Linked DNA regions of Ovis aries. The protein of the gene in region 3 purifies or fractionates together with the protein of the main gene of each other region. This does not show direct contact. Links are inferred from orthologs where the notes say so. Each region holds a gene or a part of one and is shown on either strand. Other genes may lie near its edges.

Evidence for each region.
Region 1: the proteins of COPG2 (region 3) and NUDCD1 purify together in Homo sapiens (co-immunoprecipitation; 3 studies listed by BioGRID and IntAct, with this or other methods). This does not show direct contact. The link is inferred for Ovis aries from reciprocal best matches to the Homo sapiens genes COPG2 and NUDCD1.
Region 2: the proteins of COPG2 (region 3) and COPZ1 fractionate together in Homo sapiens (co-fractionation; 5 studies listed by BioGRID and IntAct, with this or other methods). This does not show direct contact. The link is inferred for Ovis aries from reciprocal best matches to the Homo sapiens genes COPG2 and COPZ1.

Annotation. Positions count from the first base shown.
Region 1 is NC_056062.1:68,042,330-68,047,267, forward strand, and holds part of NUDCD1 (nudC domain-containing protein 1), read left to right. Parts: intron 1-4,319; coding exon 4,320-4,500; intron 4,501-4,938.
Region 2 is NC_056056.1:132,213,386-132,218,323, reverse strand, and holds part of COPZ1 (coatomer subunit zeta-1), read left to right. Parts: intron 1-2,511; exon of another isoform or gene 2,512-2,512; coding exon 2,513-2,581; intron 2,582-3,813; coding exon of another isoform or gene 3,814-3,850; coding exon 3,851-3,932; intron 3,933-4,571; coding exon 4,572-4,663; intron 4,664-4,938. UniProt on the Homo sapiens protein: The coatomer is a cytosolic protein complex that binds to dilysine motifs and reversibly associates with Golgi non-clathrin-coated vesicles, which further mediate biosynthetic protein transport from the ER, via the Golgi up to the trans Golgi network.
Region 3 is NC_056057.1:96,015,397-96,020,334, reverse strand, and holds part of COPG2 (coatomer subunit gamma-2), read left to right. Parts: intron 1-381; coding exon 382-449; intron 450-2,261; coding exon 2,262-2,450; intron 2,451-4,938. UniProt on the Homo sapiens protein: The coatomer is a cytosolic protein complex that binds to dilysine motifs and reversibly associates with Golgi non-clathrin-coated vesicles, which further mediate biosynthetic protein transport from the ER, via the Golgi up to the trans Golgi network.

The DNA.
Region 1 (4,938 bases), on a different chromosome or scaffold from region 3:
CTAAGCCCCACTTGACTTCCCACTCCAGGATGTCTGGCTCTAGGTGAGTGATCACACCATCGTGGTTATCTGGGTCGTGAAGATCGTTTTTGTGTACTTCTTCTGTGTATCCTTGCCACCTCTTCTTAATATCTTCTGATTCGGTTAGGTCCAGACCATTTCTGTCCTTTATCGAGCCCATCTTTGCATGAAATGTTCCTTGGTATCTCTAATTTTCCTGAAGAGATCTCTAGTCTTTCCCATTCTATTGTTTACCTCTATTTCTTTGCACTGATCACTGAAGAAGGCTTTCTTATCCTTGCTATTCTTTTTGGAACTTTGCATTCAAATGGTTATATCTTTCCTTTTCTCCTTTGCCGTTAGTTTCTCTTCTTTTCTCAGCTATTTGTAAGGCCTCCCCAGACAACCATTTTGGTTTTTTGCATTTCTTTTTCCTTAGGGATGGTCTTGATTTCTGTCTCCTGTACAATGTCACAAACCTCATTCCATAGTTCTTCTGGCACTCTGTCTATCAGATCTAATCCCTTAAATCCATTTGTCACTTCCATGGTATAATCGTAAGGGATTTGATTTATAACTGTAGTTATATACCAGTGTCCACGATGCCATTTTTATTTCAGTTTTTTTTAAACAATATAACAGACTTGAATCTGAGGGGCAGGTTTGCATTTTAGTAATAATAAACATGAAATTAGTTTCTCCAGAGCCACAGGTTTTGAAAGTAGACAGAGTGACACTGAGTTGTGCTAATAAAGTACAACGTGATATTGCTGCCTTCTAAATTTCAGCAGGTGGCCTTTAGTTCTAGGTAGCTAAAGAGATAGAATTTAATATTTTACATCTTATAAAACATTTTTATCAGACCAACAGGTGCCTGTAAACACTGGGCTTTAATTATTTGAGAGAAACAACAAGACCTTAGTGGTTTACCTTTCTTATTGTTATACCAGATCCTGCACTACCTAATTGCAGTGTGTTCAAAAAGTTAAACACAAAACACGATGAAATACCAGAACAACAGCCTGTTTATAGGAGGCCTTTGCAGTCAGTCACAGTTTTAAATATTCATTGGACATTGTGACATATTCTGTTTCTGCCTCCAATAATTTTTTCTTTTCTTTTTTGACTGAGGATATATGGTATATAGCACCCAGCTATCTGAAACAGTTGAAAAGAATTTGGAGAATGATGGACAGGAGCGATATGAATGAGAATGTATCTGTTATCAAGCTATGGGGATTCTGTTGGTGTAAGAAACACACTGACCCTCTTCACCTTCGGATTAAGAATAATACCACGTAGTCCATCAGAAGAAAATTCATATGGGTTTATAATTCATTTGGTTTCTGCTATGTATATCTCCTTAGTCCATATAAGTCCTTCAATAAGATTTTTAAAATAAATTAAAAATTGAATTTACTTCATATGTTCTTCAGTATATATACTGCCATAATGAAGTCAGTCCTCTCTGGGGAGGTGGGGACAGTGGGGAAATTATGGGACCAGGGGGTTAACTGAAGTGGAAGGGATACTGTGGGATAGTGGTCACTTTGAGAGAAATATATGAGTTTTAGGACTTTGGGGGAATTGGTGTAAGAGAGAAGGCTAAAGGTGGAAGTGATGGGGGCATGGTAGGGCATAAGGGGGCCCAGCAAGCGTGGTGGTGATGTCTGAAATGTAGAAGGAGAAGTGAAAGAAGGCAGGGCATGTGTGGCCTCTAACATGATGGGAGTGCTGTGTATCAACAGCTTCACAATTGATTTGCTAGGCTTGTTCAGGGGACTGGAAACGTCAACCTAAGAGTTTCTAAAAGTCCTGACATGGTCTCCTCTGGCCTTACATGAGCGAGAAAGAGGGGGAGGAAACAGGAATCTGGCTACTTGGACTTGGCAAAACTTACCATTTTTTCTTCCTACCCTTTTATTTATTCTTGTCCCCCAAACAGAAGCAAAACCCACTTAACCAAAAATGTGTCTATCTTCTCTATTTTGGGTATTTGAGGGAGGGCTCTCCCCTTACCTATGGAAGAATTTAGAATGGATTCCAAAGGTCTACTGTTTGAATAATTTTGGTAGAGTTGCTCAAACACAAAGGGAAACTAATGACATTTAAGCACATTTTTCTTTTTATTGAACTCTAGTTACAATTTGCAGTGTTTTGTTAGATTTGGTGTACAGCAAAGTGATTGAGCAAAGTGATTGAGTGATATATGTGTATATATATATACATATATATATGTATGTATGTATGTATGTATATTCTTTTCCATTGTAGTTTATTTCAAAGTATTGAATATAGGTCCCTATGTTATACAGTGGGAACTTTTTGTTTACCTATTTTATATATGGTAGTTTGTATATGATAATCCCAAATTCCTAATTTATCCCTCTTCCCCTTTGGTAACTATAAGTTTGTTTTCTGAGTGTTTTCCTGTTTTGTAAATCAGTTAATTTGTATCATGTTTTAGATAAGTGATATTGTGTGATATTCGTCTTTCTCTGTCTGACTTATTTCACTTAAGTTGGATAACCTTTGGGTCCATCCGTGTTGCTGCAGATGGCATTATTTATTCTTTTTATGGCTGAATAGTATTCCATTGTATGTATACCACATCCTTATCCATTCATCTGTTGATAGACATTTAGATTACTTCCATGTCTTGGCTATTTTAAGTACTCCTGCTGTGAGCATTAGGGTAATGCAACCTTTTTTTTAATAAGGCTTTCAGGTAGCAGCCCAGGTGATTCCAGATACAGGTTTAAAAAGAAAAAAAGAGCTAATTCTTGTGTTTCAGTTAGATTTGTATTCAAACTATTTATCTATTTATTTTTTCACTTATTTGAAAAACTTGTTTCGAAATCAGTCTTAAAACCTTTCCTGATCGATATTTAACAAAGATACAGTAGTCTTTTAGATTATGTGTTTTAAGAAGAATTTGATAAGATTTTGTACATCTTTCCATGATGCTTTGATTTGCTTTTTTTTTTTTCCTTAGAAGAAATTTCAATATTTAACAGTTAGTGGAATTATCTTTTTAGATGACATGAGATCTTTTGTTTTAGAACAGTAAGAAAGTTTTCATGATTTGTTCTCCAGTTCCTTTGACTCTTCAGTTCAGTTTAGTTGCTCAGTCATGTCCGACCCTTTGCGACCCCATGAATCGCAGCACGCCAGGCCTCCCTGTCTATCACCAACTCCCAGAGTTGACTCAGACTCACATCAATCGATTCGGTGATGCCATCCAGCCATCTCATCCTCTGTCGTCCCCTTCTCCTCTTGCCCCCAATCCCTCCCAGCATCAGAGTCATTTCCAATGAGTCAACTCTTCGCATGAGGTGGCCAAAGTACTGGAGTTTCAGCTTTAGCATCATTCCCTCCAAAGAACAGCCAGGGCTGATCTCCTTCAGAATGGACTGGTTGGATCTCCTTGCAGTCCATGGGACTCTCAACAGTCTTCTCCAACACCACAGTTCAAAAGCATTAATTCTTTGGCGCTCAGCCTTCTTCATAGTCCAACTCTCACATCCATACATGACCACTGGAAAAACCATAGCCTTGACTAGACGGACCTTTGTTGGCAAAGTAATATCTCTGCTCTTGAATATGCTATCTAGGTTGGTCATAACTTTTCTTCCAAGGAGTAAGCGTCTTTTAATTTCATGGCTGCAGTCACCATCTGCAGTGATTTTGGAGCCCAAAAAAATAAAGTCTGACACTGTACCTTTGTAAGTTTCCAGAAAACAAACAACACAAAGCAAACAAAAACAATAGGAAAGAAAGATATACGCACATATATACAAACAGTATTCAGAAACTAAGAAGAAGGCAGAAATAAATTAGAGATATGATTAATATATTAACATATAATATAAATGACTATTATAAATGGATGGATATAATATTATACAATATATTAATATATCTCAATAAATTAGATATGAGACAGGGGAAGAGATGCAGTAAGGGAATATTGACCTCATTTCCTCTGTACGGAGCACTCTTTTTCACTTGGCAATTCTTTTCTAGAGGATTGCTTTTAATTCCCTTTCTCTTGTAGATGCCATTTGGAGGCCCTTTTGTTTTCTGTGCTTACTGATCAGTTTTCTCTGTTAAACAAATAGATGTTTTCTAAAAGTTATTTCTTTAAGCTGTATTTTAAACTTATAAGCTTTATTTCAGGGCTTTTCTGTTCTTGTGTCCTTGCAGTAAACAGTATCCAAATTACTTGTTGGATTGTCAGAATTCTGTGTATTTCCTCTGTGCTCTATGCATTCATGTAATACGTTTTTGTGAATGCCATCTTTTTTTCTTTTTTGTAGATTGTATTTAATGAAGAGCTTGGGAGTCCTTTTATCATAATTCACAGTATCTCATTGCTGAAAGCTGAAGAACATGCAATAGCTACTCTCCTCCTTCGAATAGAGAAAGAGGAATTGGCTATGAAAGGAAGTGGTTTCTATGTTTCCTTGGAGTGGGTCACTATTAGTAAGAAATGTGAAGGTAAAACAACAAAATTCTGATCTCTCTGCAGTGGTTGCCATAATTCAGTAGGTTTTGAAATGCAAAGCTGTTCCTGTAAATGCTGTTTGCTTTTTCTTAAGCATTGTGTTGTGATTCTAGTACCTGCCACCCAATGGAATGAATATTTATAGGTAGTTTCTCCTTAGGTATGGATTATTTAAAAAAAAAAAAATTATGTGCTTCCACAGTTGAATACACCTTTTTTGTAAAAGGAGACACTACTACATATTTTGGAGAATTTAAAGTGTATGTTTTTAATATATACAAAATATATGTTAATATGTAACATTAAACACAAGATTTGTTCTTCAAAATATTTAGTGTAATTTGTTCTTTTTCCCGGTGTTGTGGTTTTAGCTCTAGAGGAACACAGTAACTTAAATCTTTAGATTAGATATTGGAAACTTTCTAAGGGCT
Region 2 (4,938 bases), on a different chromosome or scaffold from region 3:
CTGAACTGAACTGAGTGGCTTCTGGGCCCTAGAAACAGGCTGGTTTTATGATATGAGAGGAACTTCAGGCCCTCCCCTGCCCACCCCTTCCCCACCCCCACACACACTCCTGAGAGGTAAAGGCCCCAAGCTGAAGTGGAACCAGCTGCAGTCAGGAGGCGGCAGGAAAGTAAAGGAGAAGCTGCCAGTCTGGCCCTAGCCAAGCGGAGAACTGAAGCAGCATGGAAGCTCTGCCCAAGTTCTCGGCTTTATTTAGAGTGGTCGTTCCTTTGGAAGTTTGAAATGACCAGCCTTTTCTCTAGTGCCTTCTTACCCCTTTCAGATTTACAATCACATCTGGTCTTCTCCTTCCCCCGCCTTTGCCCTGTCTTTTATCCTTCCCAGGAAGATCCATGTTTCTATTTTGGGGGTTTCCTTGATGGTGCCTTCTAGGAAGCCAGTGAAAAGAGCCGGGAACAGGACCCAGGCGTCTGTCCCCTCTTTGCCAGTTGTTTTAGGCACTCTCTTTCCCTATTGGCCACAGAGGATTGTCTGGCTCTCCGACTTGGCTGATGGCCGTAACCGTCTTCCTCTGCTTTGGGATCCGGTTCTTTCTAGAGATGCCAGACTCTGCGGCTGCAAGCATGAGTTACCTGTGCCAGATCAATGCCCGTTTAAGCCATTGGGAAGCTCTCTAAGGTTGCAGATAGCCTGAACAGAGCCAAAGATTTCCAGGGAAGAGGCTGTGGGAAAAATTTCTTCTGAATTCCCTTCCTGATGGACTTCTTTTCCTTCGTTAAGGAAACTCATTCCCCTGATGTGTTCATCAGAGGAGGATGAGTTGGTAGTAATGTCACCCAAAAGGGCCACACCAGAAAATCTACCTGTATGCGGAAGCCTGATTATAAGAGAAATCCCCTAGATGCTTATTGCATCAATAAGTTTTTATCTTACTCTCAAAGTTCATTTATTCTCAGAATCATTCAATAAATTTTGAGAATTTAGTATGTGTATTATTCTGGACACTTGTAATAAATCAATGAATGAAATAAAATTTTCTTCCTCAAGAATCCAAGTGGGGAAAGCTTACATTCTTCATCACTCTGTTCTCAAAATACTGGGTTCCCTTTCCTCTCCTTCTGAACTCCTTGAACTCAGGTTGGTTCTTTGCTTGGAACCATAAACCTCTTGGAGCCTCATAGGATAGTTTACCTTGGTAGAAGCTACAGATCCTTGGCAGCGATTCTTTCCTCCTCACCTTTGGGTCTTTGTTAAATGTATGCTTGGAGAATAGAGAATGTGTTTGGCCCTGTGAGAGCTGTGGGTTTCCTAAGTAGGATCAGGAAATGGAGGTAGCAAACCATCAGCCTTGTCTTATAGCACAGGAGAAGGATATGCATGGTAAGTAATGTTGATAGTCAGGACTGTGTGCCGGCAAACGCTTTCATACATGTACCGCTGCCTCCCTTCCCTTCTTCCTTTCGTGTTAGTTGGTTCCCTGGAAGTTGCAGAAGTGGAGGAGCTTTTACAAAGTGATATGCTTTGAGTTTGAGTGTAACCATTAAGGCTGAGATTCTTGATTTCTTTCTTTCTCTCTTTCTTTTTTTTTTTTTGTGGCCGTGCCGTGTGGCATGCAGAATCTTAGTTTCCCAACCCGAGACAAACCCATGCCCTCCACAGTGGAAGCATGGAGTCTTAACCACTGGGTCACCAGAGACGTCCCTGATTTCTTTATGAGAGCCAGTTTCCTCAAAGGTTGATTCTTGGTGGTGAAGGACCACTCCTCTCCTGCTCCTTATCTGCAGGTTTCACAGTGTTTCTTAGATGGAGCCTCTTCTTACTGCTTCTTAACGACCCCAAATTCAGATTGTTTTTTGTCTTGGCAAGTTAAGTGGTGGCGGTCAGGGTAGAGTAGGGGAGTTGGGATCCTAGGAGAAGTCTTAGAAGATGGATGTCTCCCTGGGCTGCATTCAGAACTGGTGTGTCTGTGTGTGAGTGTGTACATGTGCGCATGCCTGCTCCTTCCCCTCTGCTCAGTGAGTGGGTGGTTTAGGGAAGGCTTGCTTTATGCCTCTGCATTGCCACTGCAGCAACTTCCAAGTACACTAGGGCATTCAACCCTGTTTTCCTATAGCCCCGTGCAGTGCTTATTAATTAATCTGGTCACATTCCATACCCACCTGTGCATGGGAGACCAGGGAGGAGGGAGAGTAATTTGGAAAATAACTATAGCATAATATTTGGAAATAACAGCATGACCTACTTTGACTAAGCCCTCTGTGAGTCTGGCTCATAGAAATTGTTTCTCTGGCACTGCTCTGGGTCCTTTGTTGAAAAGTCCCCTCCCTCAATTCAGTTCATTTGTCGCTCAGTCATTCTCAGTGGCAAATGTCAAAATCTAACCAGGCTGGGATAGGGGACATACAGAGACATCTCTAACCCATTGCAGCACCAGTAGGATTAGGAGAAGGTATCTGGTTTGTGAGTGGTGGCAAGAGCCTTCAGGACTGAAGATGTGTTCATATCTCTTCAGGAACCCTCCCTGTATACCGTCAAAGCCATCCTGATTCTGGACAATGATGGAGATCGACTTTTTGCCAAGGTGAGATTCCCTTTCAGATTAGTTGAGAAGCAAGACAGAGTTTTGGATCTTGGGACTGGCCCCATTCACTCCTATTCATCCACAAATAATTTTGAGAAATCTTCTATCTGACTACTCCAGATAAAACCTAAACTGCTCCTATCTGTTAGTTGCTCTGCTTCCCTATCCACCCATCCTTAGACTTTGTCATCAACATCAGAAGAGAGAAAAGCTTTGGAGCTTGGTTTCTGAACAAAGAAGTGTATGGATGTAAGAAGCAGCCTGCCTAGGCCCATCACCCCTGTCCCTTTCCCTTCTACCCCATCATCCTGCCTGAGTTTTTCCAGGGAATTCTCGTGCAGTTCCATGGTTCCAGCCCTACATCCGCAGTCACCACCAAGCTTGCTACTTCCTGACTTTCCCGGTCCGATGTTTCTAACTTTGGATCCATTGAAAGAGAAGAGGAAGGACACCCCTCTCCTCTCTCTCCATATTCTCCCCCTCCTAGAGAAATTTTTTCTGTCCCTGGTGTATTAACTCCGGGCAAGCATCACATAAATCAATCAGCAGGTAGAGATTAGTTTAGAATTCACCAGCTGTTCCTCCCTGTAATTGGATGTAACTATGCAGGACACCTTTTGAAACAGTTATCCAGTTACTAAATGCCAGACCTGTCATAGGTCTTCAGCTGACTGCGACGGATTAGCCCCTAAAGAGCAGAGCGATTTAGCAGCCTGCATCTCCGCCCCCGTGCCAGGGAGAGCTTGGGAGTGGGCTCCATGGTGTGCTAGCTTGCCTCCCGCTTGTTTGAGTTTGCTGGAAAGGAAGCTAAAATACCAGAGAGCCGAGAGCCCAGGCAGAGCTTGTCCTTCTACGGAGGAGGGTTTTGCAGCCCTTCCCAATTCCTCAGCTTTGCTCAGTGAGTGAGGGCTGGTGCCTTCTGTGTTCTCTAGCAGTGCTCCCTGACCTGGTGCCTGGGGATGGCCTCAGGGCTGCTGCTCTGGCGTACAGATGGGGCAGAGCCTCCTCACAGGGCTTCTAGGCCTTTTGCCCTTCCAACCTGGGAACCATGAGGTAGGGTGGCTTAGAGCAGGGTCCTTAAAAAGTTTGTTTTCTATCCGATTACTCACTGCTCATTCCCTACCTCTATGGTTCTCCCTTCTTCCTGTCAGTATTTCTCTTCACCCCATCCCTTGAAGGGGAGAAATCCAAGACCCAGGGCAAAACAGTCACTAATCATCCTGCGCTTCCAGCTCTAACAGCCCAACCCGTCTCCTTCCCTCTGACCAGTACTATGACGACACCTACCCCAGTGTCAAGGAGCAAAAGGCCTTTGAGAAGAACATTTTCAACAAGACCCATCGGACTGACAGTAGGTCGTTTTCCTTTTCACTACTCCCCGTGGTGGGTGGCCAGGGGGAAGCCACAGCGGGAAGGGGGCAGCAGTGGGACTGTGGAGAAAGGATAAAATGACTCTGCCTCCTTTTTCTCTTTTTTCCCTCCTCCCCTCATATAATAAACTCTTCAGAAATGTAATGGGGAGGTGAGTGTACCTCACGCGGGAATACCGTGCTAGAAGGTTGGCTGTTAGCTACCTGTCTAGTCCCTGGATTTATGAGCCTCACTTGACAAATTTAACTGCAGCTCTGCTTATTGTACCGCATCCATTAGGGCAGGTAAATGGAAGTCTGTAAAGGTGACCGCTCTGCATTTTCACCTCCGAAGGATTGACTAGTATCCTGTCTCATATGCAAGGAGGGAAATAAGGGTAGTAGGGGCGGGGAGCAGTTAAAGAAGAAGGTGCTTAGACTCCCCCATTCATACTTGCCTTCTGTTATCATCTGAAAAGAAAAAGCAGGTCAACTTTGGTCTTGAGGGGGGCCATTAAGACCCACCTTCTGTCAGCCCCACGTAGCTGAATACTAATTCATGGTAAGTCCCTCTACCCTAACTCTTTAAGTCTCAGACCACCCACTGTTTCCACCTTTGTTTCCCCCACCCATCCCCACAGGTGAAATTGCCCTCTTGGAAGGCCTGACAGTGGTATACAAAAGCAGTATTGATCTCTATTTCTATGTGATCGGCAGCTCCTATGAAAATGAGGTGAGAATCCCCACACTCTGCCATCTCTGCTCTCACTTCCTGAACCACTGGCAGGCCCTTGTGACTGGTTCTGGGCCCAAGGACTGCCGTGTGCCTTTGGCTTCTGACTGGCTGATGAAGTTGTCCGAGATCCATGTCAGCCTCACAGACATGGCCGAGCAACTAAATCAACCTGGAATGGAAGCTTTCCCAGCTTTCTCTCTGTGTCTGCGTAGGACACACTGTCTGTGTTTTGATAACATACTAACATACAGTATCAATGGCCTTCCCTGCAT
Region 3 (4,938 bases):
GAAGTTATTTCCTCTTATTCAGAACATTTAAGTTTTACTTAGAAAAAAAACAAAAAGACAAGTAAATTACATTTTTTTCATGTTTAAAAAGCCCATTTTCTCTTATAACTATAAATATTCCTGTTCTTTAAATTCAGATATTAATGGGTATATTAATTTTTTAGGAAAAAGAATAAACTTTGTTTCCTATATTTAAAGTTTGTATAACTCAACAAAAAGTACTTTTTCTAGTTTTGATGGTATATTTTTATGTGAATTTTTGATGCTATGATCTAATTTCCTTGTGTGCATTTTTAATATGATTTTTCATGTGCTATATTTTCAGAAATATGCTAAATGTTGAAATGAGCCATATTAACAGTGACTCTTTTTCTTTCCTAGTTCTTCAGCTTTTCTGTAGTTCTCCTAAGCCAGCTTTGAGATACGCAGCTGTAAGGACCTTGAACAAGGTAGGGGTTCCCTTTCTAACTATTATAACTATTGTTTTGTATCAGTGTTTGATTGAGAAACATTAAATTGAAGCATTTGGCTTTCCGTCCAAGGTTAGTAGATATGATTTATGGGCTTCACTTCTGTAGCACCTCACTTGCATTTGTGGCCTTACATATGGCTATAGGTAGTAGTATTCAACTAAGGATTGTAATTCATTTCTGACTTTAAACATTTTACATTCAAGAGCCATACCATCCAATATGATGGACATTAGCCATAAGTGGCTGTTTCCATTTAAGTTAATTATAATTAAATAAAAATTTAAAAATTCAGTTCCTCAGTCATTGCAGTCACACTTCATGTGGTCAATAACCATGTGTTGTTATTGATTATGATATTAGACACTGCATATATAAAATATTTCCATCACTGCAGGAAGTTCTCTTGGACAAGGCTGGTCTATAGCAACGCCATCCAGTAGAAACACTTATATGAGTCACTTGTGTAATTTTACATTTTATTGTAGCCACATTAAGTTTTTTTATGATGAGATTTATTTTAATAATACATCTTATTTACCATCACGTTTATAAAATATATCTGATAATTTTATACTGGTTGCATATTGATACATTTTTACCTTCTAGCTTTTCATACTAAGTCTTTGATATATAGTTTATTTTGTATTTAGAGCACACCTCAATTTGGAATAGTCATATTTCAAATGCTTAGTAGTCATGTGTGGTTATTGGCTACCGTATTGGACAGCGTAAATCTGGAGGATACAGTGCAAAGCACAGGATGAATTAAATAACTATGAAAATTGTAAATGAAAGTTTAATATTATAGAAGACTGATCTAATATAGTTACATACAACACTAGATTATAAATTAATTGTATGAACAATTGGAAAAGAGAGAAATTTAGAGCAGCCTTACCGAACAATATGAATTGTATTTTGAAGAGTTTGATATAGGTGTACATTTCTTCATCTATAATCTTGCAGCCAAATGTATCTGAGAACTCAGCAATGTTTGAATTTTAGAGAGGTAATATCATGCCATCTCTTAAATTAATACTAACCCCTTTGTGCCTGGAGCAATTAGACACAAACACGTTAATATTTCTGCTTTATATATATGACTATCCTCACTAACTGGAATAAATTAATACTTAGTTTTACATTAGTTTGGGTCATGTTTTGCTGTGAAGTGAATTTTGATGCCACTCCTTTGCTGAGTTTTCAGAATTTTAGCATTGTATGGTAAAGGATTCTATACCAGTAGTGGGTTAAGCAGAGAGGTGAACATCATCAATAAAAGCAAAGAATCAGGTCAATGACAGACATGTTTTAGTGACCATGGCCAATCCAATTTGGCTGGAGTTTGCTTGCTTAAATACCAGAAGTATTGTAAGTGATACTAAGTTTAAATATCTTTCAGCAATGTTTATCATTCTAGCTCCTACTCTCACAGATCCTAACATCTAGTAGAATAGATAACCATGAACACATGTACTATGAGGAGAAACAGTCCAACTATAGTAAAAGACAGACTATGATATTGTTATAAAGGTTATAGAAACCTATGAAGATGAAGTGCTATGCAGTACTATAACTAGCAGTTAGTCATTTATCAAATAATGTAGCATACTTTATTAATCCAAAGCATTCATCTTGAAATAATTATTTTTTAACTTATGCTGTTTCATTTAGATTTTCAAAAGCCATTTACTTTAATTAAAATTCATATTTTCCTCTTTTATTTTTTAAAATTCTGGTCTTTATGAGTAGCAATTTGTTAAATTTTTTTTCTTGCCCTTTGACAAGGTGGCAATGAAGCACCCCTCTGCTGTTACTGCCTGCAATCTGGACCTAGAAAACTTAATCACAGACTCAAACAGAAGCATTGCTACCCTGGCCATTACTACGCTTCTCAAAACAGGAAGTGAGAGCAGTGTGGACAGGCTCATGAAGCAGATATCATCCTTTGTGTCTGAAATCTCAGATGAGTTCAAGGTAGTTTAAATATGACCCTGTTTTCTCCCAGTCTCTGGCTTACCGTAACATTTCTGTTCTTAATAGTGTCTTTTGATGAACAAGTTTTAAGTTTTATGAAGTCTAATTTATTAATTTTTTTCTTTCACAGTTATTGCTTTCTGTGTCCTCAAAAACGTTTGTCTAAGTCTTCAGGATACTTTGCCATGTTTTATTGTGAATGTTTTACAGTGTTAGCTTTTACATTTTGGGCTGTGATCCAACTTGAATTAATATTTGTGTGTACGTTCAGGTTTTTTTCCATTGTGATTTCCAGTTACTCCAGCATAATTTAAAACAATTCTCTTTCCCCACTGGAGTGCTTGACATCTTTGTCTGAAAAGCAGATAACCATATAACTGTAGGTATGTTTCTGGGATGCTTATCACATTCTGTGGAACTATTTATTGGTCCTATGCCAGTATCATACTGTATGAATTAATGTAGCTTTATGGTACCTCTTAAATGTGTGGTCTCCCAACTTTTTCATGTTTTGTAATATTTTAGTTCCTTTGCTTTCCATATAAAATTTAGAATCAGGTTATAATTTCCTTCTAGGATTATGATTGGAGTTGTGTTAAATCTATAATCAATTTGGGGAAAGGTAACAGCTTAATAATAATAATTCTTCAGTTCATGAATATGGCATATCACTCCCTTTATTTAGGTCTTCTTTAATTTATCTGAGCAGTATTTGGTAGCATTTACTCTAGAGGTCTTGCACATCTTTTGTTAAATTAATATCTAAATATTTTATGCTTTTAGAAATCCATTTTATTAACATTTCTATTTCATTGTTTGCTACTAGTACTATATTAAAAAATACCTTTTTTAAAAACATTCCCATAACTCAATATTCTTGCTAAGTTCCCTTATTTTTTTTTAAGTTCCCTTATAGGTTCTAGTAGTTGTAATATACATCCCTTAGGATTGTTTTATGTAAATAATCGTGTTATTGTGAATAGATACTTCATTTCCACTTCATTTCCAATTCAGGTACCTTTCCTTTTTTTCCTTGCCTTATTAAAATGACTAGGACTTCCAATATGTGTTGAGTAGAACTGGTGAGAATGTGTCAAAAAGGAAATCAAAATAGCGATAGATTTTAGTTAGATGAATTAAAGTTAAAAGATTTTATTCCTTCATTTTTATTTAATTCTCACTCAAGAGGTGTAACTGACCCTATTTACTCTCTTCTTGTATTTACCTACTTTTAAAAAACCAACTTAGCCTGTGTATTCAAGTAGACATTTTGAATCTTTGGGAAACCTTGGGAGGTTATGAAGTTCATTTTGTAGTGTAGTTTGCTGAATGCATCTCCTGTGTGTGAATGTTTGGATACTTTGCAATATTCTGTGATTACAGATAATGTTGCAGTGGACAACCTTATGTCTATGTTTTCTTGAAATTTTGGTGGTGTGTCCTGAGGGTAAATTTCTAGAAGTCCATATGCTAGGTTGAAGAGTAGATAAGTATGTAGTTTCATAGAGAATGTTAAATTCTACCAGCCTGCTTCCCCATACCCTTACCAGTAGAGTACATATATCGTATTTTGAAGTTTTCCCAGTTTTTCCAGATGGACTAGAAAGGGTATCTCAGTGTAGTTTTAACTTGAATTTCTCTTATTATGAGGGAAGGTAAACATCCTTTCATATTTTTAGAGATCATTTAATATCTTTTGAATATTGTCTGCTCGTGTCTTTTCTAATTTTCTGTAGGATTTTCGGTCTTTTGTTTCCTTTATTAAAGTTTTTGTATATTAGAGATATTAGTTCTTTAGCTGTGAAATGTGTTGTGATATTTTCTCCCAATTTGTCATTTGTCCTTTGATTTTCTCATGATACTTTGGTCATGCACAAGTTTTTAATTTTTATGCAAATTTTTTGATCTTTTCTTTTATCGCATTGGGCTTTTGAGTAATAAGAATTCACCCATGTTTTCTTCTAATATATGTATAATTTCATATTAAATATATGATCTATTAGGTTTTATTATTATATTTATACAGAATGAGAAATGGATCTTACAATTTTCCAGTGACTATCCAGTTGTCCACCCCGCTCCCCCAATTTTATTTGAAGGGCTGTCTTTGCCCAGTATTTGAGATACCACTTTTACCATATACTAAAGTTCAATATGTATTAATACTTGTGTCTGTTTGGAGGCTTTCTGTTCTATTCTGTTGTTCTCTTTATTCATAAATCAGTACAACACACTGTTTTAAATATTTATATTAAATATTTTAACTAAATATTTAAAAACTTGTATTAAATATTTTAAAAATGTATAAGGATGTTTTAGTATCTGTTAGTCTCCTCTCAGCTCTTTATTTTCCTTAGCTGTTTTTACATGCTTATATTTCTTTTGAACTTTAGTATTAGTTCATCTAGTGGCTTCATTTAAAAAATCTCATTGGCATTTTTATTGAGATCACATTAAATTTATAAGTTTTCTTAGGGGAGAATAAATA